Rhinolophus ferrumequinum: one gene and its partners. The protein of the gene in region 1 binds, or shares a complex with, the protein of each later gene. Links are inferred from orthologs where the notes say so. Each region holds a gene or a part of one and is shown in the gene's direction. Other genes may lie near its edges.

Region 1 (8,225 bases):
CTCCTCATGGAGGCTGCTATAGGCTGAATGTTTGTGTCCCCCAATTCATGTAGTATCGAAATTCTAACCCCCTAGTTGATGGTATTAGGAGGCGGGGCCTTTGGGAAGTGACTAAGTCATGAAGGCGGAACCCCCATGAATGAGATTAGTGCCCTTATAAACTTGACCCAGGAAACTCTCTTGCCCCTTCCACAGTGTGAGGTTACAGTGAAAAGACAGCCACCCAGGAAGTGGGCCTCACCAGACCCTGACTCCGTCAGCGCCATGATCTTGCACATCCAGCTTCCAAAACTGGGAGAAATAAATTTCTGTTGTTTATAAATCACCTAATCGCTAGCATTTTGTTATAGCAGCCCGAATGGATGAAGACAGGTGCCTATCCCAACCATTTAAATGTCCCGAACCCCAACACTCTCTGTTACCCAATTTTATTTTATCACCACCTGACAAAGAATTGTTACGTGTTTATTATCTATCTCCCTCCACAGGGTGTGTATTTCCCATCAACTGCTTTGTTTTTAGCACCTACACAGGACCTGGTAGTAGACACTCAAATATCACTAGATGCTCAAGAAATATTTGTTGAATGAAGAAATAAATGTGTGCATGAATGACAGGCACTGCGATCAATTTGGAGGATACCTTCGGGGAATTCATAATCTAATGGGAGAAACAGACACGTTAAAACTGCAATATAGCGTGATAAACGTTATATCAGAATAGTATAAGGTATACTGGTGACCTAAATAAGGGGTAGTATGTTAAGGATGGTTTCACAGAGGAAGAGTTACCTTGGCTGAGTCTTGAAGGATGAATAGGAGTTCATCAGGTGGTTCAATGGAAAGAGAGAAGCCTAGGAAGAGGGAACAGCATGTGCAAAGAAAGGAGACAAAACACCTCGTGTCCTAAAGTAGTTTGACACGACTGGAGCAGATAGTGTAAGGGAGGAAGCCCGAAACTACAAGAAAATCAGCAGCACTGTTTTCAGAGAGTGACTGAAATCACCCCAGCACCTGATGTCCTCCCTACTTCTCTTAAGGGAATTTACTCCATCCTCCAACAGCCTTCTTCAGTGCAGCTGTCTAAGCCTGAGGACAATGAGGTACTAGCTTACAGGTGCTCTGTTTACTCTCTGCCAAGGAAAATCTCAAGAGTGTAAAATAATAACACTGGAATGAGAGAATATCATCTTACTCTTTGCTCGAGGAGGCAGCCGCCTTTGGCAGGTATCGGTGCCTCTGCTTCCCTATTGACAAAGTTGAGGCAAAGAGGGGAGACGGCATCTACAAGTCTTTGTCCAGGCTCGGGAAGCTTTGGTTAGAGCAGAGTTTGAAGTCAGGGGTCTGGGTCAGCTTTCTTTTCAGAAGATATGAGGACCCCTCCATAGCAAACTGACTCTTTTTTGTTATTCTCAAGGCTGATACTGCAGTCATGAGAAGAAAGCATCCTCCTATTAACCACGAGAAGACAAAATACAGAGGTGGAGGTCAGGTTTATGTGTCTGTGCCAGAAACTAGGAACATATTAAGACCAAACTTAGGGAAGGAGAGTCACACTATGTTCCTATAAAGGAGCAGGTAGAGAAAATAGAGAACATGGTACCAAAGATTTGGACAGACGTTTTCTAGTTAAACAATATTACAAAGCTACATAATTCACCTTTACCTGTAAACTCTCTTGAAACGATGATCTCAAACCTTAGATTTGTAAAGTTTGTATCTTTATGGGGGACATTTATGGGTTAATTAAACGTGCTTGAAATAAAGATGGGCTTTGAGTAAGGGATGAGCAGCTAAAGTCTGAAAGGAAAAAAGGAATGAGGACTATCAGGAGTTGCCCAGATATTGCATTTGTCAGAGAGACCCAAACCTGGCCCTGACCTCTTGAGTTTCGCAGCATCTCAGGCACACGAGCAGTATAGCGTTTTACCACTGGCCAGAAAAATACTTGCAATTTCACCAGACAATAGCTTTTCTTGTGAGGCCAAAGAAAATATTCATAGAGTACTTTTCTGCCTTCCTTAAAAAATCCAAGTTGCCCTCTTAGTTTCCTATCTTTAGTCCAAATTTTCATTCCTTCAGAACAACTTGGGGTTAAACTTTGCTTAAGTACTACACTCCCCAAAGCTTAATTCTTTGGTTCTTAGGATAGTGAAACCAAAAATGTGATGAAAGTCAAAGAAAGGAAACAGTGAGAAACAGCTGTTGACCAAATGAGCAAGGGCAGTGATGATATGAAAACAATAATGATGATATTATCTTGTATTTCAAAAGTATCTTTCTGTAAAAAGACTCACAATATCATATGGATATGTATACTTTATCTTTATCCTTGGTGATTGAAAAAAAATACGTTCATTCTTATTATTGTATATTTCCATAGCTATCCACAAATATTTTGGCTGTTTCTATTTGCTGCATCTTTAACGGAAATAAATTTCTTCATTGAGAATTATCTGGAAATTACATTGACTTTTCACCTTCTTCAATTGCATAGGGTCCTATTTTATGTATCCTCTTCAACTTTGGGCAGAAGCCTTTTCTTTTTGCTATGTTTGTAGCTTCATGTTTTGCTTGTTTGAATTCATGTTAGCATGTTCATTTTGCTCGTTTAATCATCATAACTTGCCTACAAATTCTGTCCTACAGTTTTATTTATCACCATCAAACTTCATCTTCCTATCATAACCTATGTAATTCTCTTTTCTATGTGATTATTTTAATGAATGGCCATTTATATCGCCATGTAATTATTTTCTAAAACTTCTTAACAGTGAGTGCACAACAACCAGGTCTTCTGGATTTTTCTCTTCATTCTACATAATGTAACTTATGACCTGTCTTTTCTCCCACCTTCCTGAACTTTACAGTGCCACTTGACCAACAGTTTCACAAAAAGTTTGAGCTGCCTCCCCCAGGTAGCTCTATATATTGTTTTTGGACATTGCCTTAAATTCTCCTTCCTTACCTAGCAGAAATCCTTCTCTGCAAACTCATTTTACTCTCAAGTGGTTTTGTCTGATGAATGTTAGTTGGAATCAATGATCTTAGAAGTGAAAGAAGACCACCATCCCCAATTTTTGACCTGCAGGAAGGTACATATTGTTCTCACTTAATAGGCAGTGCAACTGAAGCCCAGACAAGTGACTTGTGTCAGGCAGCACCTCTATTAAATAAGGAAGCAGAAGCTAGACTCCACCTCCCCAAGAAAGTTGCAGTGGGAGATTGGAGAAGACAGCACCAAAGAAAGGAAGTTTGAGTAAGTAAACTAAGTAACTGGTACTTGTGTGGAGTAGTTATTGGTGCTTAGATTCAAATCTACAACACTTAAAGAATCTTAATAAAGACCATTGAAAAGCTAGATAGTAATGAGAATTACAGAACGGGACTGTGCTCAAATACTAATGTTCCAATCATCTAATGCTGCATAACAAAGCATCCCAAAACTTAGGGGCTTAAAACAACAATATTTTACCGACCTGCAATCTGGGTAGAGTTCTGCAGGGACAGCTCCCTCCATGTTAGCTGGGATTGCTGAAAGTCTGAGAGCTAGAATCATCTGAAGGTGCATTCAACTCAGACATCTGAAAGACAGAACAGTTGGGGCTGCTGGGGCTCCTTGAACATCACTTTCTATCTCTGTGTGACCTTTCCACATGGACCCTTCAGCATGGCAGCTACAGGCTAGCCAGACTTCTTACATATCAGCTCATTGCTTCCAAAGGGTGTAGCTCAAGAAAGAGAGCCAGGCTGAAGCTGCACCACCTTTCATGACTTAGCTCCAAAAGTCACACAGCATCACTTCTGCCACCTTCTCTTGGTAGAGGCAGTTACCAAGATCTTCCCAGATTAAAGAGGCAAAAACATAGACCCCACCTCTCGATGTAGGAGTGTCAACGCCATATTGTAAGAAGAGTACTGGGGTGAGATCTTTATAAGAGTAGCTATCTTTGGAAAATACAATCTGCCACAACTAAAAACCGTTGGATTACCAAATCACTGAAATGCAGAGCTGAAAGAAATAGACCTTAAAAGACCATCTATTTGTCATTAACAAAACTCATTTTGCAAGGCACAACTCAAATGTTTCTTCCTTTTGGAGTCCATCTTTGATGTCCTCCAGCTTCCATAGCCCTTTGCAAATATGCCCACTCTCTCACTCAGTTATATTCTATTGTAATTATTTTTATACCATGATTGCAATCAGGCAGGTACTATCAACCTATCATTTAGCCAAACTTTTTTTTCTAATCAAACAATATGGCATAGGAAACACCGCAAAGAAAAGAGTCTTCAGACTAATAGGGAAAACACATTTCGAGGAGAGTCAGAGGTGACACTTTCTCCAGAAAACAGACAGCAGAGAGAAAAGCATCAGCAATTAAGAGAAGAAAAACTGACATCACACAAAGAAAAAGATAAAGATAGTATATAGTTTTGCCCTACATTAAAGTAGAGACGGCATAAAGAGTAAATGTCAAAATAACCTAGACTCAAGTAGCTGAGATGGAAGCATTGCCTAAAGCAGTGGTTCTCCAACCTCATCTGTTTCAGACTCACCTGGAGAGTCTGTTTAACCACCTCCCATAGTTTCTGATTCAGCAGGTCTGGGTGGGGCCTGAAAATCCGCATTGCTCACGAGTTCCAAGACAACCTTGATGCTGGTGATCTGGTACTACACTTTAAGAACCACTAGCCTAAAAGTTTTTAGACGTGGAAGTAGTAGCATAACTGAAGCGCCGGCAAAGATGAAGGAACCAGAAGGGCCCAAGATTGGTGGGTGAAGATGACCCAGCACACTAAGTGACCTGATTTTAACAGAGGCCATTTCTCTGTTGTCCCCCCTACGGGACAGGGCATACTCGGGTGATGATGCTCCCCGATGGCCGGAAGACAGACACGGCCTCGTCCCCTCAGCCGCGGTAGCGTGGCGCCCCCTCCCGACCGTCCCTCGGGGATGTTAGCCGGGACCGCACACAAGCGCGGCTAGCCGAGGTGGGCGGAGCTAACTCGGACCAGCCTCCCGCCGCGTCTTAAGGAGGGAAAACACCCGGCAGTGCCTCGAGTCCCCGCCCCCTGGGGGGGGCCACCAGGACACCGGGTCGTGATTGGTCAGTGCCGCTCGTGCGCGGTGACGTTTAGCTAGGTGGAACGTTTCTAAGAGGAGCGCGGGAGCTGAGAAGTGAAGGGTTGATTACGTCCGGGAGAGAAAATTGCCCCCAGGTTCTCCTTGGGAGAGTGGTGCTGCTCCCCCCACGAGCTTCCCGTCCTAATCTCCTGCTACTTTGGGGTGCCTCTCTGCCTCCTAGGTGACCAGGTGAGCATCCGAGTGTGACCTTTGATAGTGTGTATGTGTGTGCGCGTGCGCTGTGTGTGTGTGTGTGTGTGTGTTAGAGGAGGTGGTTACCCAGACTCGTGGCACCGAGAGAGGAGAGGAGGGAGAGGAATATGCTCTGTTTCCCTGAGGCTCCGGGGACGACTTCTCGTCCCTGCCACCCATCTTCTTAGGGCTTTGGGATCGCTGTCTAGTCTGATGTTGCTGGGCCTTGCAACACTGATTGGTTCTCCCAACAATTTTAAGTGCCTGCTATGAGTTAAGCACTGTGCTAAGCGCAGGGACTACACAGGCAATTACCGTGTGTCCCGGAAAATAAGACCGAGCCGGACCATCAGTTCTAATGTGTCTTTTGGAGCAAAAATTAATATAAGACCCGGTCTTATATTACATATTATATTATACCGGGTCTTATATTAAAATAAGACCAGGTCTTATATTAATATTTGCTGCAAAAGACGCAGTAGAGCTGATGATCCGGCTAGGTCTTATTTTCAGGAAACATGGTATGTCCCCAGTTCTTACAAGTGCCAGGCACAGAGTAATTCATCTTTAAACTGAAGTGAACAAGGACCCTGAGGAGAGGATCTCTACCAGAAAGACGAATAATTATTGCATGGTGTGACAGGTGCTCAGTTAGAGTTGTGCCTGGAAGCACAAGAGGTGAGAACTGATAACCTAACCTAAGGTTTGAAGGAGGCAAAGAATTGAAAATATCAAAGCCTATGAATTCTCTAGCCACTGCCAATGAGCCTTTACAACCTGTTGTAGTATGTAGTTGCCTATTCTTGCAAATAAATGGAAAACATATAGAAAGGTATGGGTTCTTTTATTCTTAATAGGTTCCCAGTTTCAGGTAAGATGACAGAGGAACTGGATCTCACGGCACAGGACTCTGATGCGGGCAGTGAAGAAGTGGTCCTAACTCCTGCAGAGCTCATTGAAAAGCTGGAGCAGGTAAGAGTCCCAAATAGAATCCCCTTGCGCCAATCTTAGCCTTTTTATTTAGTCCAACTGTGCAAATGTCGGGAATCAGGAAACGATGAAATGGGATTCAAGGCTTATTTCAAGAGAAGAGTGACTGGGTCTTACCATCTGCCCAGAAATAAGAAGTGGGGGGAACAGTCTTTGTTAGAGAACTCATGTCAAACACAAACTTCTCCAGTGGGGCCAGTAAGGGACAGCTTTGGATACATTGAGTAGAACAGTTCACAGAGCAAAGATTTGCTACTTGGTAGTTTCATGGACTACAGAAGTGTTGTAGTGGAGACTTGTAAATTTTATGCCTTAGTCCCTTGAAACACCTGCTGTTTACTTATAGAATGCTTGGGTTAGCAAGAAAGAGCTGAAACACCTTTTTTAGGATTAAACTGGTCTTACTCTTCCTTTTCCTCCCAGGTACTTTCTTTTGTCAACTATTCTCTATATTTCCATTGCTTATCTAAAATCATTTCTAGGCTGTCTCTCTTTTTAGTCATAAGAGCTATGGTTTGAGTATTTCCTGTGTGCTAATAACTGTTATTTACAATTAACTGTGAAGCTCTGGTAGTTAGTTCAGACTCTGTATTTAAACCCCTCCATGCCACTAGTCTGTTATGCAACCTTAGGCAAGTTATATAGCTTGTCTCAAGCACTTTCTTGACTATAAAATGAAGTTAATAATAGTGGCTACCTCATAGAGTTGTGAGGATTAAGTGAGATTTTATATATATATATATATATATATATATATATATATATAAAGTGCTTAGCATATTGTTTGACATGACAAGCACTCACTGAATGTTAGCTGTGAGTAGTAATAATCCTTACAACAACCCAGTGAGGCAAGTATTATTGTTATCTACATTTTACAGATGAGGAAACTGAAGCTTAGAGATATAAAGTAACATGCCCAAGGTCACACAATGGCAGCAGAGCTGGGATATGAACCAGGTTTCTTTGACTCCAAAACTCATGCTCTTAATCCACTACACATTACTGCCTTATTCTTGTTGTCTCCCCTTTTTATCCCCCACTTTTTCTCGCCTCCCCCCCCCACTCCAGTTCAAGCCGTTGTTTCTCAGTCTAGTTGTGTAGGACACAGCTCCCTGCCCACGCTGATATTAATGAGCCTTGCACTCCCCCGGCTGAGGCTGTCGGTTGCTGGTTGTCTGTCGGCTGCTCATGGCCCACAGCAGCCCACGGCTGCTCACGCTGGCCACTGGCCACTCCTGGCAGCACAGGGCAGCACGCAGCAGCCCTGCCCACGGCAGCCCAGCTCCAGGGAGAGCCGTTGTTCACAATCTTAGCTGTAGAGGGCGCAGCTCACTGGCCCATGTGGGAATCGAACTGGCAACTTCGGCATTAGGAGCACGGCGCTCCAACCACCTGAGCCACTGGGCCGGCCCCTTGTTGTCTCCCTTTAACTGCCCCTTTCCAGAATTCTCTCATGTTTGTTACTTTAGTGTTCTTCATTCTTTTCTAACGTACACGCCATCAAGACTAACAAAATCAAAGGAACAACCCATATAGAATTTTACATCTAATTTCAGGAGTTTCACAGACACCCTGAAATCTGCCTACCTAGTCTGGGGACCCTAGTTTAAGAGCCCCTGCTTTATTAGGAGAGGGTTTATTAAATGGAAATCAAAAAGCATAAAGCATGAAGGACAAAACTGATATATTCAACTACATTAAAATTAAGAACTCTGTTTTTACATCTTCCTGAGAATAAAAAGACGTGCCACAGAACTGGGGGAAAATATTTGCAAAATATATAACTGGCAAAAGATTAGTATACATAATACACAAACTTTATAAATTGACCAGGAGAAAAATGAAAGTCTTAATAGGAATCTCCCAAAAGTGGAAACCAGGATGGCCCATCACCATATCAAAATAACATCCAA
Region 2 (7,577 bases), on another chromosome or scaffold:
ATCAAAGGTACATGCCGTCACCATGGCTTATCACTGCTGATATTGACCTTGATCACCTGGCTCAGGTCTTGTTGGTCAGGTTTCTCCACTGTCACGTTACTCTTTTTCTGTTTCCATCCTGTTCTCTTTGGAAGAAAGTCTCTCTGGGCAGCCCACACTCAGGAGTGGGGACTTATTTGCTGCCACCTTGAGGGCAGGATATATATATATATATATGTATATATGTATGTATGTATGTATGTGTGTGTGTGTGTGTGTGTGTGTATATATATGTATATATACATTTGAATTCTTCTGCAGGGGAGATTTGTCCCTTTACCCCCATTTGTTTTATCTCCAACTCTTAATTCATTACTACATGGGGAATTCTAGCCTTTTAGCAGGGGTGTTTCTTTTTTTTTTTTTAATTGGGGAACAGTATGTTTTTCCAGGACCCATCAGCTCCGTGTCAAGTTGTTGTTTTCGATCTAGTTGTGGGGGGGTGCAGCTCAGCTCCAAGTCAAGGCGTTGTGTGTTTTTTTTCAATAGTTGTGGAGGGCACAGCTCACTGGCCCATGTGGGAATCGAACCGGTGACCTTGGTGTTATGAGCACTGCGCTCCAACCACTGAGCCAACCGGCCGCCCCAGAGGTGTTTCTTACAACAGGAAATAATGGTTGTGAGGGCTTCCCCTCCATCTCAAGTAGCACTCCACCTCCATCATTCCCAACTCCCCTCCTCCTTCCCCTTTAGTTTTCCTGTCTGTTTACTGTCTTGTTACCCCCACTTTGAGAGGCCAGGTGGAATCTGGGCATTTGGAAGTCCTCTCCGGATCCTGGTAGTCTGGATATGATTCCGTTTATTCTGGACAGAATCTGGAACCAGAGTTAGACTGGACTGGGGCAAATCACTTCCTTCCCCAGTTTTCCCAATTATAACAATCTCCTGGGGAGTGTGTTAAGTGTGTGGTTTCTGAGTCAGCAAGTCTGAGCCTGGAGCTTCGTGGAGGGCATTTTAAATAACAGCTTTATTGAGGAATAATTCACATATTATAAAATTCACCCTCTTAAAGTATACAATTCAGTGGTGTTTAGTATATTCAAGAGTATGCAACCACCACCACTATCTAATTCCAGAACTTTTCCCATCACCCCCAAACGAAACCCCGTACCCATTAACAGTCACTCCCCATTTCTCTCTCCCCTAGCCCCGGCAACAACTAATTTCCTTTCCGTCTGTACAGATTTACCTATTCCGGAGGCTCATATAAATGGAATCATACATGGTTTTGGTGACTGGCTTCTTTCATGTAGTATAATTGTCACGCAGGGTGTCACACGGGGTCTCTAGTCCTGCTCCCCACATAAGAACGCAGGATATGGTGAGGCCAAAAAGGAACACCCACGGAGCCATAGATAGGGGATTAATACTACTATAGTCTCACTGGTGGCTGGGTTGGAGACACAGGAGGCAGGAGCCATATGATCCGCAACCCGCCGTCCACTTGTCTCTGTCAACCAACCTCACTTGCTAGCTGCAATCCACCTCTCTGCAATCCATAATCCACATCCATCACGCCACGCCACGCCAGGACGCCACACCACCACGCCACACCACTGCACTACCATTTTGCTAGCTTAGCCACGGCCGTTATATCAGTGACTAATAGCTAACCGGTAACAGCCAATGGCCAACTAGTCACAGCTGATGACCATCTATTACCTGAGCCAGCACCTTTCCACGTGAGGCCGAGAGCCTGGGAACTGCTGTCTGGAGTTCTGGCCCCACAATAATGTTTTTCAGGTTCACCCACATTGTAGCAGGTATCAGTGCTTCATTCCTGTTTATGACCAAATAATATTTCATAGTATGTATAGATCACATTTTGTTTATCCACTTCTCAGCCGATGGACATTTGGGTCGTTTCCACCTTTTGGCTGTTGTGAGTTGTGCTGCTGTGAAGGGAAAGATATTTAACAAGTCCTCCAAGTGACCCTGATATACACTCCAGTTTGAGACTCTAAGATGCCACCATTTTGCAGTGTGTGTGATGCTGCACACTGTCTCCTCTTCCTCCCTGAACAGGGCAGTGAGGTCAGCAGCAGCACTGTCCCCATTTAACAGATAAGGACACCAGGACTCAGGTGACATGGACACGGGGCTCTGTTTCTCTCCTACTCACCCACTGTCCCTCTCAGAACCTCCGCTTTCCCACCAGCTCTTTTCCTTTGCTCTTTTGCAGGCTGCAAAAGCTGGGAGGGAAGCCTCGCCAACTTTGGAATACAAATATTTGCCAGGGAAGAAAACATTCTCCCATCAATCAAAACCCAGACAAGTTGGCACACACTCTTTGCAGATGCAAGGGAGCTTCTGCTTAGGAAGGGCCAGGTAGTCCGCAGCTTCCCCTCGTCTCTAAACACCCCAGCTCCTTCTTTTCCTACCTCTTTTGCAGATGAGGAGACCGAGGTTCAGAGTGGTCACTTGCCCTTGGTCACCACAGCATCCAGAGGGACTTTATTTTCTTTGAAAGTATTTGTCTTAATAAATGATACGCCATGAAGGTAATCTCCAGGTCTGCAAATGACAATTTGCAGGGCAGATAAACAACAGATATGCTTTCCATGCCATCTGAGTGGGCAGAATTTAATTATATTTTTTATTAGTTTCAGGTGTACAAAACAACAGTGATTAAATATTTATATACCTCACAAAATGGTAACTCCAATAAGTCTATTATTACCCATCTGACACTGTACACAGTTATTATATTATTGACTATGCTGTACTTTATATTCCTGTGACTATTTTTTTAAAATTATAGTTGACATTCAATATTATTTTATATTAATTTCAGGTGTACAGCATAGTGGTTAGACATTTATATAAATTACAAAGTGATCCCCTCATAAGTCTAATACTCATTTGACACTATACATAGCTTTTACAATATTATTGACTATATTTCTCATACTGTACTTTACATCCCCGTGACTCTTTTGTGACTATCAATTTGTACTTCTTAATCCCTTCACCTTTCTCACCCAGCCCTCCCGCCCCCTCCCATCTAGTAACCATCAGTTCTCTGTATCTATGAGTCTGTTTCTGTTTTGTTTAATTTGTTCTTTAGATTCCACATATAAGTGAGATCATATGGTATTTGTTTTTCCTCAGTCTGACTTATTTCACTTAGCATAATTCCCTCTAGGTACATCCATGTTGTCGCAAAAGCTTAATTATATTGTTATTTCATCTTCCCAACCCTACACGGGGCAGGTTTCAGGGGGGTTAGAGGGGAAAGAATGGGGTTATCTGGGGGAGGGGCAGCTTTCCTGCAGAGATACAGAAACCTGGAACCCTCCTGTCCCCTATGCTTTTTCTTAGGGCCTAATGAGCAGGGTTTCAAATTCAAGTCCAGTCCACTGCTTGTCCCCACCCGTCCTGCACAGGCTGCCCACCTCCAGGAAGCTTTCCTGGCCTGTAAGCACCCCATCCGAATCACCCTGGTCCTGGTTACAATTCAGCTTTCTGTCCCCACCCCAGACACCCAAATCATAATTTTCTAGGAGTGTGCATGTTACCACTCAGAATCTTTTAGGGGAGTCTGACACAGCAGGGAGACTGAGAACCACTGTTAGGTTTCACACAAGCCCACTGTATAGCGAGTACCTGTTCAACGAACAGATGAGCACATCAATGCGTATTTGCTGCAGTCTGCAAACTTGCCCCTTCGTAAGCCTCACCTGGGGTGCTTGCCAACATACAAATTCTGAGCCTTTCCCCAGAAGTTTCTGAATCGGAAGGTGTGGGTGGTGTGGAGCAATCCACATTTTAATAGATTTTTAACCAATGAGTATAGAGAAAGCAGAAGATTTTGAAATGAAAAGCAACAACGCCTTCCCTCAATCCCTTGGGAGTGAAGCTGTGTCTGTCTAGCCAGGTAATGCTGTGACCGAATAAATGCATTTATTCCTGGCCCAGGAGTAAGGGGCATAGACTCGGTGTAGGCGGGTAGGCACCCAGGGCGGTGAAGAGACAAAGAAACGTAGTGCCAGATGCTGGAGGGGAAGCGGCACGAAGTGCTTGGCCCACAGATGAGGGCGGGGCCCGCTGCTGTCCCCGAAGGGGCGGGGCCGGGCTGCGGGGGCGGGTCAGTGCCCAGACTCGTTCAAGCTCGCCAATCCGTGGGCTCGTAGCAGCCACGCTCACCGCCTCCGGCCGCCGCGCAGAGAGCGCCGCGTTGCTATAGGCCGGCTGAGGGTTCTTCCGGCCGGGGGACGGGCTCCGCGTGGTGGCGGGAAAGAGGCCGCCGCGGCACCTCCCGGGGGACCCTCGGGCCGGGGACGGCGGCGACTCTTGGGCCGCCCGCCTGCGCCGTTATGGACGCGGCCGAGGTGGAGTTTCTGGCCGAGAAGGAGTTAGTGACCATTATCCCCAACTTCAGTCTGGACAAGATCTACCTCATCGGGGTAAGGGTGCGGGCCCGGCATTTGCCTCGGGCCGGGGCGGTGGGCCGCCCGTCTCGGTCCCCAAGTCTAGGATGGGAAGCTGGGTGGCGGACTCGGTGTGCCCAGACCTCGGGGGACAGCCTGGAGGGGGCGAGGTTCCGAGCCGGGGGCCGTGTGTGTGTGTGTGTGTGTGGCGGGGGCGGCGGTAGCCTGCGCCTCCTACGTGTTCTCCGACGGCCTCCCCACAGCACCTCGGGGAACACGACTCACGTGGGCTGCCAGGTGTGGCCTGCCCCACCGCGCGAGTGCACATGTGGGGCTGCCTTCCAGGGCTTGTATTTGGACTGCGATTATACATTGCCCGTTCTCCTATTTGACAGCAGCAAGGTCCAGTGATGCCTTTGGCTCTGCTTTGTCTTACGTGGGTTTGTTTTTCCTGTGGCAGGGGGACCTGGGGCCCTTTAATCCTGGCTTACCAGTGGAAGTGCCTCTGTGGCTGGCCATTAACCTGAAACAAAGACAGAAGTGTCGGTTGCTTCCTCCCGAGTGGATGGATGTGGGTAAGAACGTGGGTGGAGTCCCGGGAGCCTCCATGATGCACGGATCCGCTGAAATTAAGGGTTCCAGATTCCCTTCGAGCCAACGGACCACTATTACTGGTGTTAATTTGGGGCGTGTATTTCCATTTTAGTTCAGATTTTGTTTTTTAAGCTAGTTCAACTTGCTTTAAAAGTATGATGTGACCTTACGCATTTTGTTTCCATTTTTAAAAAGTCTATAGGCCAACATGTTGAGGAGTAGTGTCATAGCCTACATGACGGAGACTGTGCGAAAGGAATGCGTTCTCCATACAAGGGAATATTATTCAGCCATACAAAGGAATGCTACCGTGTGGATTAACCTTGAAAACCTTATGCTAAGTGAAAAAAAAAAAGAAAAACAGACAGAAAGACCATACATTGTATTACTCCATTTATATGAACTGCCCAGAATGGGCAAATCCACAGAGACAAAGTAAATTAGTGGTTGTCTAGGGATGGGGGTGATGGAGGGATTGTGGGGGGTCCTTTCTGGGGCGATGAAAATGTTGCGCAACTCTGAATATACTAAAAACCACGGAATACTTTAAAAGGGTGAATTGTATGGTATGTTTATGTCTCAGTAAAGCTGTTAGAGCGAAAATGAAAAGTCATCAAAGACGCAGGCAGACTTTACCCTGTCTACCCTTTGTAGTCTTCTCCCCACCTCAGAGATGTGAATGGCTCATTATGGCACAGAATCTTAATTTGGGGGGGAAGTAATGGGCCGTGTACAATTTGAAAAGCCCTGATTTTGATTGTCCCCTCCCCATTGGGAATCACCGGGGGATGCCTGCCTCCTAGAAGCAAGGACACTTTCAGCCGGCACTCTCAAGTGCAGTTTAAGAAAGGCCTCGTGGGCATTTCCTCCTTGCTCCCTGTCCTAACGCGGTGAATGGCCCTGGTGGTCTTGACACATAATGGGAAACAATTCCTTCTGCTTTGAAGGGGTTTTTAGTCCCTCCAGGCCTGGCTGTATGAAAGCTGCATCCCCACAAGGCCCCTCGTTAAGATCAGCTTCTGGCAGTTTTGGTCCAACTGATATGGAGCAAGAACCTGCCTCACTGCAGGCCAGAGTCAGAGAGGTGTGGAGAGGGTTAGCCTCAGTTTCTTCATAGGCCTGGGCCATACTGTGGTGAGAAGTAGTGAGACCTCCCTGGTGACCCTACCCAAGGACCAGCCAGCCGCCTTCTGGTTCTGCCACCGTCCATGGGTTCTACCTTGTCTTGGACTTCATGTAAATGGAATCATCTAGTCTGTCAATTTTGGTCTCTCTCTTTATTCAACGTGATGTTTTTGCGATTCACCCCTCTTGTTGCATGTGTCGTTACGTTCTTTTAATGCTGAGTAGCGCCCCACTGTATGAGCATTCCACAATTTGTTCACCCATTCTTCCGTTGGTGGATAGTTGGGTGATTCCCCACTGTCGGCTATTGTGAATAAGGTGATGAACTTTCTTGTTCACGTATTTTTGTGGATATGTCTTTATTTCTCTTGCGTAAATAAATACCTAGAGTGGTGGAATTGCAGGGTCATAGGGCAGACTGCACTTCACTTTGTAAGAAACCGCCAACCAGTCCTCCAGAGTGGTGGAGCCGTTACTGTAATCCCACCAGAAATGTCCGAGAGATCCCAGTGTTCCGTATCCTGGCCAACATTGGGTGTTGTTAGTCTTTTGACTCATTGCAGGGTTTGAGCAGAGAGGTTTCGTTCTCTGATTTAGATGTTAAAAAAGAAGCGTCAGTCTGCTGTGCAGAGCAGATGTGTGTGGGGGAGGGCAGCAGAGTTCCCCAGGCAAGAATTGACTATGACTCAGTCAGCTGATGGAGGTGGGCAGTCCTGGTTGGAGTCTAGGCATATTTTGAAGGACGAAGAATCGGTAGGATTTGCTGCGGAACTGGCCACGTGGTGTGAGAGAGAAGAGTTAAGGATGAACTCCAGGGTGGTTGGCTTGAGCTCCAGAAGGAGATGGAGTTGCCTTTTCCGGAGAGGGAGACGACTGCAGGAGCAGTTTGTGGGCTGGGGTGGGCACCCAGAGTGGAGGTTTGATCGTGTTACACTGGAGGTGCCTGTTAGATAGCCACGTGGAAACAGTGTGGGCAGTGGGGTATTTGAGTCAGGAATTCAGGGCGAGGGCTGATCTGGAGATGTAAATTTGGAAGTCATCATAAGCACAGAGGTGGTATTTAAATGAGGCAGGACGAGATCACGTGGGGTGTGGGTTAAGGTAGTGGAGAGGGGTCAGGGACCTGAGCTCTGTACCCCAGCGTTGAGGAGTCAGGAGGGCCAGGAGAAATCAGAGAGAACTCGGAGAGAGTGGTGTTGTAGAAGCTACGCGATAAATACCCTCCAAGGAGGAGGATTGACCCACGTCGGACATGGAGACTGAGACGGAGCCGTTGGGTTTGGCCAAGCGGAAGTCATGCGTGTTGGTGGAGGGGTGGGATAGACACCCATCTGAGTGGTTGAGGAGAGGAAGTAAATGCCAGTGTCAGACGATTCTTGAAGTTAAATTGTAAAGGGCCTGAGAAATGGATTGGTGGCTGGAGAAGATTTGGTGTCGGGAGGGTGTTCT
Region 3 (7,703 bases), on another chromosome or scaffold:
TGGGGAGCATCTGGGGAGAGCAGGCAGGCGACTCCAATGTACGTGTAACATCTTCTCTCTTAAGCCAGGTTAAAGGATACACGAACATTCAATCATAAGATGATTCTGTTATGTCCTAAATACTTCAAAACCAACTTCCAACCCCACCGTTAGCTGGAGCCTAGCGCCATCTCTCACTGTGTGTCTTCTGTCTTCTAGCTGTTCGAGGAGTTGCAGGAGTGGCTGACCCGGAAAGCTGAGGACCAGAGGCCCTCGCAGGAGCCAGGGCTTCGCCAGCGGGCGGGCAGCAGGGTGCAAGGTGAGGGCCTCTGGGGAGCAGCGTTTCCTCTGGGCTCTGTCGGGGCGGGGGACATATGGCCCGGCACTCTGACTCCAGTATCGCTTAACTCTCCTGTCTTCTGAATGTTTTAAATGAGAAGTAGGATGCAGGCAACAGGGCATGGGGTTTCAACCTCCAGTGTGTGAGTCTGGGCACCTCTCCCTACCTCAGTTTCCCCAACTCCCAAACCAAGGGAGGTTGAGTTTGTTCTAGTTCATTGGCTCAAAAGTAGAGAGAGTTATTCAGAGGCTGTGTCTGTGCTGAGAGAATATCTGGGAAACGTCCCAAGAGACCCAAATGCTCCACAAAATGGACGTCCACCGAACCTGACACATGCGTGGTGGGAGGGTGGCTTTGACAATGGGTAGAGTGGAGAGGTGAAGCTCACTGCCTGCTTGGCAGCTTCCATGAAGCCTTCTTGGCTCTTGGTGCCACTCTGACCCCCTGCCTTGTGGCTTTTCCACATGTGCCAGGACCATGTGGACCCCTCTATTGGTGGGATTGTGCCTCAGAGTGTTGGAATGTGGCCAGTCCTGGTAGGACAGGTTACCTGGTGGGGTGAGGCGTAGTTGCCCTAACCAGTTCTCAAAGTGTGGTCCCCGGGAGGGCATGGTCTCACAAGGTGGGCTGGCTGAAAAGTGAGGACTAGACAGCTTGGAGAAATAGTAAGTTCCCTGTCCTTGGAGGTATTCAAGCAGTGGCTAGAGGGCTACCTGTTTGTGCTGTAGTAGAATCCTGGCATTGAGTGGGACTGTACTAGAGACTGCTGAGGCCCTTGTGCTGTGTTTTTCTGTGACATCAGACATCCCACCTCTGTGCATCTGTGTGGTTGACACTGACCCCTTTCTCTTTCAGATGCTACTCCCATCGAGACACCCAGAGGGAAGTCCCAGCTCAGTATCCTCTCCCGGGCACCACTAGTACGATGGGTCCTCACACTCAGTTTTCTGGTGGCAACGGTTGCCATGGGGCTTTATGCCATGTGAATACACACGTACACACGTGTTGGCTCCTGGGGCCATGAACTCTGTCCAGCGGAGGACCCTCTTTCTAGAGGGAAAATCTCAGCTGGCTTCCTTCCCTTGGGCATGGGGGGCTGTCAGCACCCCCACCCTCCTTCCCTCTCTGGAAAGGAAGAAGGAGACTTAAGTGTCTTCCCAACCAAAAGTACATCCAGCCAATGACCTGACCTTCCAGAGAGGGATGAGGGGTCCTTGCCCAGCCCTCAGAACACTCCCCTCCCCTACTCCTGCAGCAGAGCCCAGAAGTAGCAGCCAGAAGTAGCAGCTGTCCTGAACCTCCAAAGGCCCTGGGGTCACAGTCTCCTTGTTGACTTGCCATGAACGCTTTCCTCATGGGCCATGGCAATTTTCATATAAATGTGCAAAGATGTTGTGTCTTGTGTTTGTCTTGTTTTTGTTGGAGCCACTTTTTGTTCCCAGCTCAGCCTGAACTGGGGTGGCATTTTGTTGTGTTCTGTTTTTTTTTTTTATAGCAGGGTAAGGGTGGTTGGGTGGGGAGAGAGGTGTTTTTAACAGCACTGTGGCCTTGGTCCCTAACTTTTATGTGAAATAATAAACTATATTGCCTGATATAACTTGAAGTGTTTTTCTTGGGCTGTTACCTTGGGGAACTGACCTTTTCCTCACTTGCTTCTTGGATGTCTGGTGGGGAGAAAGGGTGCAGGAGCCTGTCTTAGATGTTGTGTTCTGTTCTGAGAATGGGGGCTGAGCTTTAAGTAGTTGGTGGGTGTATCTTTGTGGTGAACCCTGCTTGACGCAAGACTCACCTTTACAGAGGATAGCTTTGCCTTGTTAGGCTGAAATGAGCAGATTCTGGGATAAAATTTGAGTCTTGTCCAGTGAATCTTAGAGACTAGCGAGAGATCCCTGGGTTCAAGACCCTGCCACTCCACTTTGTCACTCTGCCTACAGAGGGGTCAGTTACTAACCCCTCTTGGGGCTCAGTGGTGTCACCTGTAACATGAACACAGTGAGACCTACCTCACCTGCCTGTGAAGCAAATGAGATGCATGTAAAATGCCAGCATTGTACACTTGCCCCTATTATGAAAACGAGGGAGATCGGGGTTTTGTGATTCTTGCTAAGTGGTTCTTGTACTGGCAGTCACCTCACCTATGCCATCTCATTTAATCCTCACAGTGAGTCTGTGTGACGAGCGGCACCACCCTGAGGGGCAGGAAGGATTTACCCCAGGTCTGTTCAGCTCTGTGACCCAAGCCTTTCCCTTAACTCATGAAAGCCATCAGCTTATTTAAAATGCAGAATCCCAATCCGAGACAGTGAAAGCCCCTCGCTGAAGGTGTATTTAGGAGCGCAGGGGACAAGGCCTTTCCTTAGACAACTAGTAGGTGAGGACTGGGAGTCAGGACGTCCTTTGTCCCTGGTTCTGGTTTTGTCACTACGTCTGGAAACTTGGACAAGTCACTTCAAGTCTCCTTTATTCATTGACAAAATGAGAACAATACACCTACTCCAGTGGTGTCCTAGCACCAGTCAGTGGATGGTGGCATCATGATCACCCAGATATTCCTGGGCCCCACTGGAGAGGTTCTGATTCTGGAAACCTGGGGCTAGATTCTGGAACCCTGTGTATAACAGGCTCCCCGGGAGATTGCGAAGGGCAGCCAAGCAACAGGAGCCACTGTTTATGAGATGGTGCATGCAAATCGTAGTCATTCAAACAGCAACTACAGCTCTGCCCACCTTGGGCCCAGTGTGGGGACAGAGCCCCAAAAATCAGTTTCCAGGCTCTCGGCCTCACATAGAAAGGTGCTGGCTCAGGTAGTAAATGGCCATCGACTGTGAGCAAATGGCCAGCAGCTGTGGCTAGTTGGCCGTCAGCTGTAACCAGTGAGCCATTAGCCATGAATATAACTGCCGTGGCTAGGCTAGCAGGAAAAAAGGGGGAGCTAGCAAGAAGATGGTGGCTGAGCCTGCAAGCAGTGCAGTGAGGGTTGAGAATTGTGTTGCTCCTGGTTCCTGTGTCTCCAACCCAGCCGCCAGCGAGAGTATAGTGGTGTGACTCCCCTGCCTATGGCTCCGTGGATGTTCCTTTTTGGCCTAGCCATACCCTGCGTTCTTATGTGGGGGGCGGGAGCAGAGACCCCGCCTGGATCCCCTGCACTACACATGGCGCAACGAGCAGGGTCCCCTGCACGACACCAGTTTCCAGTTTTCTGTGAAAGGGGCATGATATTCATGGTGGTGATGGAGGGCGGGTGGGAGGCGGGAGAGAAAGCATCTTGATTCTACTCTCAGGAAAATGGTAATAGTTTGCCTTCTATTCATACTATGGAAAATTAAATCACTGTTAGATAGAATGAAATGTTTCCCGTCAGAGGGACTTCCGTGCAGTATTAAGCAGAAAAGCGTTTCCGATTTATTTGGTATTTTTATACACTGTGAAAAGACACATTTCAAACATGCCTTGCAAACATGTTTGAGTGACCGTGGCGGACAATACAAAGTTCTTTCCAGGTCCTTGAGGGGAGGTGGGTAGAAATGAAGAAAAGTATGCCGTCCTTGTTGCTGCTTGAGAACGCGACGAGTTTGGCCAAATACTCCCATTTTTCAAGCTCAGTTGGGAACCCGGTCGTGAATTTTCGCCAAGGTTAAGCATTTCCAAATAATTTAAAATCGACAGTTAAAACAAAAATTCTCCTTTAGGTCTAAGAAAACATCCTTGAGTCCTAAGTTTGGGACGATTTTGTTCCCAGAGGCGTTAAGGAGACCAGAGGTGACTTGTGCCTGATCAATCTCCCAATCTTAGAAGAGTCTGTTATTGTGAGAACACGGAGCAGGGGTGCAGGTGGCCGCGCCCCCGCCCCCGCCCCCGCCCGCTGGACGGCAGCGGGCTCGCACCCCGCAAGCGTGTACTTCGTAGGGACGTATAGCTTCTGAACCCTTGGTTCTTTCACCCCGTGGCTCTGAAAGGAGTTATTTTTCTCAAGAGATTTTAGAAAGCCTCGAGAAGAGTACACAAGCGTCCTCAGCACGCCCGCACTGTCCCTCGGCCCGAAAACCCACCCCTCCACCATCTTTACGCCAGGCCCCACCCCTCCCCTTCCCGTCATAAATTTCGCGCCAAATTGCCCGCCACACAAAATGGAGCCCGGAAGGAGACCAGGAGTCCTGACATCATGAGCCCCTCAGCCAATCCGCTTCGGCTACTGGCCTTGGAGGCGGGGCTTGAGGGCGCAGAGCGGTCCAATCAATGGCCGCGGGGCCTCGGCTAACCAATTGGGGCACAGCAGCCGCAGCGTCCGAACGCGGCCTCTCGTTTTTCCCGCGAAACTCGGCGGAGAGTGTCGGGGTGCCTGTCTCTCCGAGTCCGTGGAGTGGCGGAAAGGAGAGGTGAGGCCGGTGGAACTGGGGAGTGGGGACCCGGGAGCCCGCCCCACGGGGGGTCGGTAGGCTATGGATGGGGGCGCAATAAGGGTGGGTAGGGGTATCCCCTGGGAGAACTGGGGTCAGGGTCCCCCACCCCTGAGTCGAGACACACCCGCCTCGCGTTCGGAGCGAGGGACCCAGGCATCGGTCGCCGCGCGCTGCCCCCACTCTGCTCCAGCTCTTTTTCTCCGCCAGGTGCAGGCATGTCAGGCTTCGACGACCTCGGCATTTTCTACAGCGACAGCTTCGGGGGTGACAACGCGACCGATGAGGGGCAGGCCCGCAAATCGCAGCTGCAGAGGCGCTTCAAGGAGTTCCTGCGGCAGTACCGCGTGGGCACCGACCGCACCGGCTTCACCTTCAAATACAGGTGCGAGCCGGAGCGGGGGCGGAGGGGAGCTGGGCAGTCTCCACGGAGAACCTTGCAGTGTCATAGACAGTCCAGACACGGATGGGGAAACAGGACGAGAGGAGGAGGAGCCTGTCGCGGGTCTGCGGGTTTTGGTCCAGCAGTGCGTCATCAGGCACTCCCCTCCCCCCCACAAACCTATGGCCTATGGTTTCCTGTGTTTTATACCTGGAGTTAACTTTTGAGCCAGTCTTCTGCTGAATGGGCCTCCGCCAACCCAGCTGGAGCTACGTGGGCCCTTTGGTTCGTTGTCCATTTCTTGTTCCTGTTTGTCTGCTGTTTCTGTCCTTATACATACTGTCAGAGATACTTTCTTGACCCTAGTTGTCTCTGGGTACAGTAGGTGAAGTGGGAGTTATGATTCACTTCACTCATTCATTCGTTCATTCCTCTCTTGGAACCACTATTGATTGAGTGCCTGCTGCATGCCAGGCACTGTTCCAGGTGCTACAGCACTGAACGATCTGGGCTAGGTCCCTGCTTCTAGTCATTGTGCAACCTGTGACATCATGCCACATCATTGTAGGCCCTTCAAACATGCGTTTGCAGGTCCAGGCTCGGGTGACAGTCTCTCTGGGCCTCAGTTTCTTCGTCAGTAAAATGGGCATAGCCATTTCTGCTTCCATTTATTCACGCACAAGCTAACATTGATCACCCATGTGCCAGACACTGCTAGACACTGAGATAACAGACGCAAAAACATTCGTACTACTTGCCTTCGAGAGCTCAGTGGGAGCGATGCATAAATTAGGAAGTGATAGTCACCTCAAGGGAGGAATGTAAAAGAGGAGTTGGGGAAGACTTCCAGAGGAGCCAAAGTTCTGGGTGACCCTTGAGCCGAGAGAAGAGTCGTGGTGTGGGAGGCATTCCACATGGCAGTTGCATGGGCAGAGGTATGGGGTGGCCTGTTGTAGCAAGGGGCTCTCTGGGCCAGACAGGCTGCTTTATGTGGCTCCCACGCATAAGGTAGAAGAGGATGAGGCCTGAGGTGAGGCTTGGGAGCCGGCTCTGCGTAGGTCCGTGGTCCCCAAATGTGTTTGGTACAGTCGTGCTGTGGAATGCTCTGAAAAGAATCTGTGATGGTTGACAAGATACAATGTCTACTCTCGTGTGCCTCCCCAGTTCTGGGGCGTGTGCCTCCCCAGTTCTGGGGCGTGTGCCTCCCCAGTTCTGGGGCGTGTGCCTTGTTAGTTTCCCAAGAGAGTCCTGCAATGGAAGCACTGATTTGCAGTGAGAGTCTCCCCAACTGACCTGTGCGTGGAACCTCGTCTTTGAGGGTTGAAATATCCTTCCACGGAGCTTTCTTTGGAGGCTGCCTCTGCTGGCAGTAGGGACCTGTTGCGTCCAGCGCAACACGGGCACTGAGGGTGCGAGAAGGGGTGGCTTTGGGTTAAGTTTTTAAGAAAGAAACATACAGAGACTTAATGCAGTTAAATCTCAGAAGGCCAGGGGTCTCACAGTTCTGAAAGACTGGAGCCCAGATATGAGCCGACTGGAGGTTTTTATTGATAAGTATACAAGGGAGTAGCAGTGTTTTTGGCACGGTCTGTGGGACTCACCACGTTATAGAAACAACCCAAACCAATTATGTTGATCTTCAAACAGCCGAAGCAGAAAGTCCTTGAGGTGAGGTATGCAACTCTTTTAAGGGACATATATCACATGTCGAAATTGTTTCACAGAGCTGAGCAGAGACAGCTTAATCTTATCACTCTCAAGACTTTTCTCCCAATTAGGTGAGAGGGGAAGCCAGAGTCAGCAGCGACTTTTCCCAGGCAGGGGGAAGGGGAGACAAGGCCCCTTCCCAAATCTTTCTAAGGCAGCTCATTGGGGGTCTCCATGGGGTTCCGCCTGGCTTGAGTTGTCCCCGCCGTGGGGAATCTTACTCGTCATTGGCCGCAAACCCTCTTTTGGAGACTAAATAGAGAGAAATATACAGTCCCAGAGATACACAGTCTCACAGACTCTTCTTTCCTTAAGGAAAGACATGGGGTGTGGGAGTCGGGGGCAGGCTGCTAGGCTGTTGTGTGACAACAGGGATCCTTTGCAGAACCCCCTGGAATTCTGTGTGCGTTTGGGGAGCGACGTGGTGAGCAGTGTTGGTGATGGTAAGGGCAGGTTCAGGGTGCAGGTGTACCTTAGCCAGTGTTGGTTGCTCTTTTCTGCCACCTGCCCCCTCCAGGGATGAGCTCAAGCGGCATTACAACCTGGGGGAGTACTGGATCGAGGTGGAGATGGAGGACCTGGCCAGCTTTGACGAGGACCTGGCTGATTTCTTGTACAAGCAGCCAGCCGAGCACTTGCAGCTGGTGAGTGGGACCCTGTCTCTGACCCCCCAGGGCTGGCCCTGCTCGTCACCAACGGCCTGTCCCCTTCCTTCTCTCTAGCTGGAGGAAGCTGCCAAGGAGGTGGCTGACGAGGTGACCCGGCCCCGGCCCATCGGTGAGGAGGTGCTCCAGGACATCCAGGTCATTCTCAAGTCAGACGCCAGCCCGTCCAGCATTCGTAGCCTGAAGGTGGGTTTGCTTAGAGGCCAGGAAGAGGGTGGCAGTGGCTGCTGCAT
Region 4 (7,481 bases), on another chromosome or scaffold:
CCCCGAGCCTGGACAGCTGGCCGCCACAGGCCACGACCTCAGCAGGGCATATGTGGTCCCAGTTCTCCCAACCCAGCAGACATCCTCCAGGGACAATTCCCGACCAGACGTGGCCTCCATATTGACATTACCTCAGTTCTCAAGTGATGTAGAAAGAAAATACTTACTGAGTTGATCGAGGGCTGAGGGTGGCATAATTACTGTGGAGAAAATATTTAAGAAATACTAAGAATATAAAAATTAAAAGGACAGAACAAAAGCCAAAATGCAGTTTCTGTTCTATCTCTAAAAAGTATTAAACAATACTTGTACGGAAGCCAGAATTTCGTAATAATCTTTCATAAAGAACTTTCTTTGCTGTCATTTATTTTGGGGAACTGAATGGCTACTAGCCATAAATCTAATCATAATTTGAACCCCGCATATCTGGAGCAAGCAACATTTTGACTCTAAGGAGCTTCTGTTACACATGTAAAATAAGGACTGTTTAAGACTATAAGCACTGCAGGCTGAGGGCAGGAAAGGTTACTATTCAAAATAAAAACAAGCACATACTCTTCCCGCCTTTCTCCACATCTGACCTGTCATTAGGCCCTGCGAGCATGGACACGGAGAAGCAGCGGTACTGCGTGGAGAAGCGGTTCTGGAAGACCCGAGGAATTGGGTGGTCAAACATGTTGAAAGAGAACTAGAAGGAGGAAAGAGATGCCAGAGTTAGAACAAAATAAAGGTACATTTCTTCTTGTCAAAAGCCAAAACAGGTCAGGGTGGTTAATGCTGCTAAACACCCTCAAAGAACAAGATGCACCGAAATCCTGATGGACCAGAGTGGTCTGCCTGAAGCACTTCCCAGTATCACGGTAAATCTCAAATCTGTTTCCATTCTTTCTGCCAAGCCTGATCTAGTCTCCATTTTTAGGTGGTGCAACCTTACTGAAATAACTAGGCAGTCACGCCTGTTCTTAATCTTTTTCAGTGCCCCCACTCCCACCCTTGCAATCCAGACCAGACCTCACATACCTCAGGGAGTGGTTACCGACGGCCCCACAATATCCTACACATGCCACCCGCCCCCAACCCTGGGCTGGTTCCCCTGCCTGGTACACTTTTCCTCTTTCTCCTCTTAATTAAAAAAAAATCTGTCTGCCAGTCTCTGATCTAAGAACTAGGGAAACACCATTCCAGTGAAGTCTGTTCACTAACAAAACAAGTACAACCTCAGCCCCGGCAGAGTTCATATTCTGCCATTCCCAAGACAAAAGAAACAAACAAACGACGCACGTGAGGCAGTGATAAACATTCTGAGGACGAGAGGTTAAGGGACAGAGAGCTCCTGGGAATTCTAGTGTAAGTGGGTGGTCAGGAAGGGACTCTCTGCAGAGACCTGAATGCCACGATCGGGAGCCAAGTAGAAAACAAGGAACAGTGTTCCAGGCAGTGGGAAGAGCAGGCGCCTGGTGTTTGCACCCCTTTTCCTGGCTTCCATGACTATCCTTTCTCCAGGAACCTTTGCTGCTCTGCTCAGGGTCAGGGCTGGTACCCCTGCAATGTGCTCTCACATTGTGCCACACGGTGGAACTCCACACTTCCATTGATAAATAAAGCTATCAAGAAGGTAAGATGCTAGCTCTTAAAACTGTGGATTACAATGAGGCTTAGAAAACATGTTACCCAGCAATCTGGGGTCAAAGTATTGCAATTATTATGATGTTTCAAAAATCTGTATATATATATAATCGCACAATAGGGTATATTCCAAAAGAATTGAAAGCAGGGCTCAATATTTGTACACTCATGTTCACAGAAGTGCTATTCACAATAGCCAAGTGGTGGAAACAATCCAAATATCCACTGATGGATGAATAAAGAAAATGTGGTGTATACATACAAAAGAATATTGTTTAGCCCTGAAAAGGAAATTCTGACACGTCTTGAAGCTTGAGAAGACTATGCTAAGTGAAATAAACCAATCACAAAAAGACAAAGACTATAGGATTCCACTTATATGAGGTCCCTAGAGTAGTCAAATTCAAGAGACAAAAAGTAGATAGAATGTTGGTTGCCAGACGCTGGGAGGAGGAAATAGAGTTGTTTAATGGGTACAGAGTTTCAGTTTTGTTAGATGAAAAAGTTCTGGAGACCCATTATACAATAATGTGAACTTAAAAATGGTTAAGATAATAAATTTATATTATGTGTTTTGCACCACAAGTTTTTTAAAAATCTCACAATAGACAAATATTTCTTGACTTGATTCCAAATAGACATTAAGTAGAGGGAAAGCCATCTACCGATAAAGTAGTTTACTAGCAATTCCACAATTAATTCCACAAGCAGAATCAGCCTTCTTCCTAAAATGCAAATACAGCATGCTCCTGCTTAAAATCTCAAATGGTTCTTCACTTTGTGTTCTATTGTAGTACAGTAGCTTTCAAACCTTTGTCTCTCTTCTTTTAACCAGCAGAACTCCTCAACAAAATCTTGGCCAGAAGTATAACAAATGAAAGTGTTTCTGGATGAAGGACAGGGGAGGAGTCCCGCCTCCCCTAAGTGCCTCTCACTACCTCCCATCTAAGCCACTCCTGTTTGCAACATGAAAGAAAAATGTGCAAAGTATTTAACACCTACACCACTCTGCCTTCAAAACACCGCGGAACCTTTCTGCCCCTCCCTACTGCTCCCCACCCATTTTACTTTACTTACCCCCCTCCTACTTTACTTTTATAATCCCCATGCCCAGCATATTGCCTACCACATAGCAGGTATTCAAATCCGTTAAGTGGATAAACTTGAGAACAGAAATATGATTCGAAACTAACACACAGGATAAAATCTAATAATCATTCCTTGTTTTTACTGAAATAAACAGGTAACACAGGCAATGATTACAGTGGTAATGAGACTGATCTTTGCAGCCAGATTTGGCTTCAAACTTTCAGAAACTACCTCTTTAAATCATAGTTTTCTCATGGTTAAAACAATAAGAATCATCCTTGCCTCCAAGGGCACTGTAGGGATTAAATGGGATAAAGTGTAATGAGGGACGGTAGATGTTAATGAAAAATTGTGTAACAGAAAAAGCGCCAGCAAATACTAGCTACGATTTATCTTTACTGAATCGCTTAAGTAGCAGAAGGCATGATCACCACCCATGCATGACCAGGAGGTACTGGATGTTCCCCCATGCATTTTTCCTAGAAAGCCCCTGATTCTGCAATAACCTTCCAATTAATTTGGTGTTTATGGAAACCTGTTATGTGTTTAATACTTGCGAGACCCCTCGGTGGACTGAAACATGGAAGGAGCTCAAGTCCAACTGAGAGGAAATGCGAACCAAGTCCCCAACTAGGGAGAAGAGTAGAGGCTGTTCGTAGTCAAGGGTCTGGGTCTTGTTCGCCGCGCCCGGGACGGGCAGATGGGCCGGGCTCAGGCCGGGGTGACTCGGCATCTCCACAGCCGTTAAGTCCGCCCCGCTGGACCCCAATCTCGGCCCCCGACCCCAGCCTCAGTGCCCAGCCCGTCCGGCCGCGCTCACCATGATGGCACCTGAGCCTCCCAGATGCTGCCTCGTCTAAGGAACGTTACGACCGGAGTCCACCAACTTGCTCTTCTCACAGCTGCCGCCGCCGCCTCCCCTCGGATGCCCCGGGAGGCTCACCGGAAGTGCCAGACTTTAGACCAGGGGGGAGGTGCCGAGGACAGGGCTCGGCTGCAAAAGAGAAAAAGCCAGGCAAAGGCGCCAGGGCTTAAAGTTTCCCCGAAATCAACAATAAAGTACCTTTTCCAAATTGTTGTCCACTCTGGAGTAATTTAAAAAATTATTTTAAATTACGTTTTGACAGTACCCTCCTCTAGATGAATTTAGTTGGGCCCATTCTCCTTACTGACTACACTACCCAGAATGCACGTAGATCTTCCGGCCTTTGCGTCAGCCATCGAGGACTCGGGCGGAAGTATGTCATTCATCTGCTTTCGAACTAGACTGAGAGCCTATTGAAATCGTAAACCGACGCTTTCGTTCGATGCATAAATAAGTTTAGTTTAAGGTGAGGTGGTTTCTTTTGCCTGGGGTTCCAGTCGGGGGGGTTATAGGCTTCTCTGCCCAAACTAAAGATGTCCACCGAGCCTGGAGTTTCTGGGTAAATGGGAGTTAGCGTTGTGTTGTGCAAACGTGTTTCCGTCCTGCCTGGTGATGACGCTCTTTTGGGCCGGGCCAGAATTTTCCAGCCGTAAATGGCGGAAGGCTACTGTCGCCGCAATATGAACCAATCATAAAAGAGGAAAGGATGGGAACTAGGTACCTATTGATTGGCTCGTGGGCCAATCGGAAGAGCCCTGATTTGGCGGGAGTCTTGACCTCCGCCGGGGCCTGGGTGTCTCAGCGCGAGCTCTGGGTGTTTGGCCGCCGTGGTCATGTTTGTGTCCGATTTCCGCAAAGAGTTCTACGAAGTGGTCCAGAACCAGGTGACCCCGTTTCTTGGACCTCGAGGCCTTGTCACGGGGAAGGGATGAGGGGGAGCGGCCGTGGGAGGGCGGGAGGGACCCGGGTTCGAGGCGCTGAGCTCAGTTCGCCCTGTCTTCCCCCAACAGAGGGTCCTTCTCTTCGTGGCTTCGGACGTGGACTCTCTGTGCGCTTGCAAGATCCTTCAGGTGAGCACTGAGGACTCTGGCAGGGTGGGGCCTGGCGAGAGGTGAGGGTGCAGGGTAGACGTGGGCGGGAGGTGGTACGTACAAGGTCCGGAGGGAACAGGGTCGGGTAGGGAACTGTGCGGGAGGTGAGAAGCAGGGTAAGGAACCCCTTCCTGGGTGAGAGCTCAGGCTGGGTAAGGTCTGGAGCAACAACAACTGAAAGCTGGGGAAGACTCTTGAGAGGTCGCCTTTCTGGCAGTACAGTATTGGGTGGGTTAGAAAAGGACGAGGCACAGTCAAGAATACTAGTTAGTATTTTTGCAATAACCTAGGTAAAAAGTTGGCTGCATTAGAGAGACCGATAGACTTGTAGTGGCTTCTCAAATGTGGGATTTGAGATAGAGGAATCTGTGAAAACAGGGCATAGTGGTGCCATAAGCAATGCTGGAAATACAGGATCCCTTAGTCTATTACAGAAGATCATTGGTTCGGTTTAGAATATGGTGTGATGGATGTTTACATGAGCTTTGGTTACACCCTTGCTTCTGGAATTACTTCTCAGAAAATTCCAGAAATCAGATCAGCTTTTCTCCGAATGTTTTTCTTTGGCATTTTCAAAAATTCGACAAAGTTTGCATAATAGTACAGTGAATACTCATATCCCCATCACCTAGTTCCTCCCATTAACAGTTTACTACCCTTAGTTTATTATCTGTCATTTGTCTGATAACCCATCTTATTTGTTTATAGTGCATTTCAAAGTAAATTAGACATTCTAAATGTGATAGGCTTTGAAAATAATCTCTCTCCAGGCCCTGTTCCAGTGTGACCACGTGCAGTATACGCTGGTTCCAGTTTCTGGGTGGCAAGAACTTGAAACCGCATTTCTTGAACATAAAGAACAAGTATGTGAGATGTATTTTTGAATAATTAGGCTTTTTTTACTCAATTGCAATTTCTTATTTAAGCACCAACTATATTAGGCAATACCAAAGAGAAAAATGAGCTGTTATGTCTGGACTTACCCTCAAGTCAACAACAAAAAAAGATAGTGAATATGGACAGCCTCTAACCTTGAACTTGTGTGGCAGACATTTCATTGTAAGGTGCTTGGAATTTAGCAGTTATTTTTAGATATGGCTTAGTTAAAATTATTTTAGATTAGACTACAATTTTACGTTATTTCTCCAAGAAAACGTATCCCAGTTTCCAACGTGGAATCCAGGAAAATATTTTCTCCCTTTGTAATTTTAAACAGTGGTTGCCAGGATTCCTCCCACCTCTACATGCGGCCATGAGAGTTGGTACATTTAGACCCCACATACAATCTCATTTCTATACACACACGCTATCCTCTCTGCATAGTTAGTGTTAATTCTACTACACATAGGGAGAAAAGCATTTTAAAAATCATAAAGCATTTAAAATATGAATTATTGTTTCAGTAAGTTTTTTCCAAGTAATCTTGTTTCTGGGTCTCACCTCTATTCTGTTTCAGTAACTTTGTTCTTTTACATTGAGTGCTCCTGGATGGTACTAAGATAAAGAAAGAATATATCAAGTTATAAGAACCTAAAAACGTAACCAGTTAGAAAAAACTGTTTTCACAAAATCCTGTTTAAGAATTAGGTTTGCTGAGAAGTTTTTTGACAAGCCCACTTGAGGAAGAATCTCAAACCCCAAAAGGCCTACATATAGACAAAATTATTCATGAATAAGAAAAGGAAAGATGTTCTGGCCACTCTTGTTGGTTGATGAGAAGAGGATGAAGAAGGTAGAATAAAGTCAGTACCGGATATAATGTGATAGATTGAGGGGCTGGAGTATGGAAGAGGGTCCCTGGAGTCTGGCCATATCTAGGACTGTCTGGCAGAGGTAAACCTTTGCCTGGAGCTCCTGTTATCATGGGAGGGACCTCTGCCAGTTCTGTATTTATAAGGAAATGGTTTTCTATAGTGATGGGATGTAATAAAAGACTTAATATTTAGGTGTCCATTAAGAATGGGCTATCCAAGGTTTGCTAAAATTTTAAAACTGGAATGCTATTAGCGTGGAGAGACAGTTCGTCACAATAGTGTGATTGATGTCTGGAGAGGCCCAGTTATTCATTTGAAGTCTTGGTCTGCTCCTCATCAGCTTCTTGATTCTGTGCATGAGACTCTCACGTTCTGAGCCCCTGCGTGCTCCTCAGTGAAGTAAGGGCAGCCACCGGGCCTACCTCATGGTGTTGTCATGGAAATGAAGTAGTATATGGAGTATGTTAAAGCACTAAGCACAGGGCATTTATGGCCATATTGGAGCCCCTACCCTCAGGGCCTTGCCAAGTGTCGGGTTTGATCTCACCAGCAGGACTCAGATCTAGTGTGCTGAAAGTAAAGGGGCCTCCTTGATGCACTTACTTCACAATATCTCTCTTCCTTTTTCAGTTCCATTATTTTATCCTCATAAACTGTGGAGCTAACATAGACCTATTGGATATCCTTCAACCCGATGAAGATGCCGTATTTTTTGTGTGTGACACCCATAGGCCAGTCAATGTCGTGAATGTATACAATGATACCCAGGTAACTAGGCCTTTGGGGCCCATGCCTCCCTTGAATTCTCCCAATGATCTGTCTGTGCCTTTTATGCCACGGACATTGCACCTGGTGTCCTTAGTAAGGCATGTATCCACCTCCTCTGCAGGAGTTGGAGCAGCCTGAGCACAAGAACTTGATCTTGTCCATATTTGATGAGAAACATGGCACCTAACCCTTGGAGGTGCTCAGACTGCATTTGTGGATTTGCTTGATCTGGGAGGTACAGGGACCAGAACCCTACACCCAGTTTGCTCTCAGCTCAGACCCAGCCTG

The links.
Region 2: the proteins of GINS4 (region 1) and GINS2 are in contact, whole or in part, in a crystal structure (PDB 2E9X), measured with the Homo sapiens proteins. The link is inferred for Rhinolophus ferrumequinum from reciprocal best matches to the Homo sapiens genes GINS4 and GINS2. Residues at the interface, in NP_115712.1 of Homo sapiens: Pro23, Ala24, Ile27, Glu28, Glu31, Trp34, Met35, Lys38, Phe39, Gln57, Met61, Leu73, Lys74, Ser76, Ile77, His78, Met80, Glu81, Arg84, Ile85, Tyr87, Val88, Ser91, Asp166, Asp168, Ser169, Tyr170, Val171, Phe172, Val184; in NP_057179.1 of Homo sapiens: Met1, Glu5, Phe8, Leu9, Glu11, Lys12, Phe21, Leu23, Asp24, Lys25, Ile26, Tyr27, Leu28, Ile29, Gly30, Trp47, Leu48, Asn51, Leu52, Arg55, Lys57, Phe135, Gln139, Glu140, Ala141, His142, Ala143, Lys144, Leu145, Asp146.
Region 3: GINS4 (region 1) and MCM5 share a complex: the UniProt entries of both Homo sapiens proteins name them as parts of the CMG helicase complex. The link is inferred for Rhinolophus ferrumequinum from reciprocal best matches to the Homo sapiens genes GINS4 and MCM5.
Region 4: GINS4 (region 1) and CDC45 share a complex: the UniProt entries of both Homo sapiens proteins name them as parts of the CMG helicase complex. The link is inferred for Rhinolophus ferrumequinum from reciprocal best matches to the Homo sapiens genes GINS4 and CDC45.

The regions. Positions count from the first base shown.
Region 1 is NC_046287.1:58,830,108-58,838,332, reverse strand, and holds the start of GINS4 (DNA replication complex GINS protein SLD5), read left to right. Parts: upstream 1-5,166; 5' UTR 5,167-5,316; intron 5,317-6,176; 5' UTR 6,177-6,195; coding exon 6,196-6,291; intron 6,292-8,225. UniProt on the Homo sapiens protein: Required for correct functioning of the GINS complex, a complex that plays an essential role in the initiation of DNA replication, and progression of DNA replication forks.
Region 2 is NC_046298.1:30,856,404-30,863,980, reverse strand, and holds the start of GINS2 (DNA replication complex GINS protein PSF2), read left to right. Parts: upstream 1-4,236; 5' UTR 4,237-4,355; coding exon 4,356-4,445; intron 4,446-4,869; coding exon 4,870-4,984; intron 4,985-7,577. UniProt on the Homo sapiens protein: Required for correct functioning of the GINS complex, a complex that plays an essential role in the initiation of DNA replication, and progression of DNA replication forks.
Region 3 is NC_046293.1:10,965,108-10,972,810, reverse strand, and holds the start of MCM5 (DNA replication licensing factor MCM5), read left to right. Parts: upstream 1-4,626; 5' UTR 4,627-4,695; intron 4,696-4,926; 5' UTR 4,927-4,934; coding exon 4,935-5,101; intron 5,102-7,322; coding exon 7,323-7,449; intron 7,450-7,527; coding exon 7,528-7,656; intron 7,657-7,703. Other genes in the region: HMOX1 (heme oxygenase 1), read left to right, coding at 199-298, 1,175-1,305. UniProt on the Homo sapiens protein: Acts as a component of the MCM2-7 complex (MCM complex) which is the replicative helicase essential for 'once per cell cycle' DNA replication initiation and elongation in eukaryotic cells.
Region 4 is NC_046308.1:24,080,856-24,088,336, forward strand, and holds the start of CDC45 (cell division control protein 45 homolog), read left to right. Parts: upstream 1-4,314; 5' UTR 4,315-4,413; coding exon 4,414-4,464; intron 4,465-4,590; coding exon 4,591-4,650; intron 4,651-5,441; coding exon 5,442-5,534; intron 5,535-7,055; coding exon 7,056-7,193; intron 7,194-7,481. Other genes in the region: UFD1 (ubiquitin recognition factor in ER-associated degradation protein 1), read right to left, coding at 168-200, 556-688, 3,536-3,538. UniProt on the Homo sapiens protein: Required for initiation of chromosomal DNA replication. Core component of CDC45-MCM-GINS (CMG) helicase, the molecular machine that unwinds template DNA during replication, and around which the replisome is built.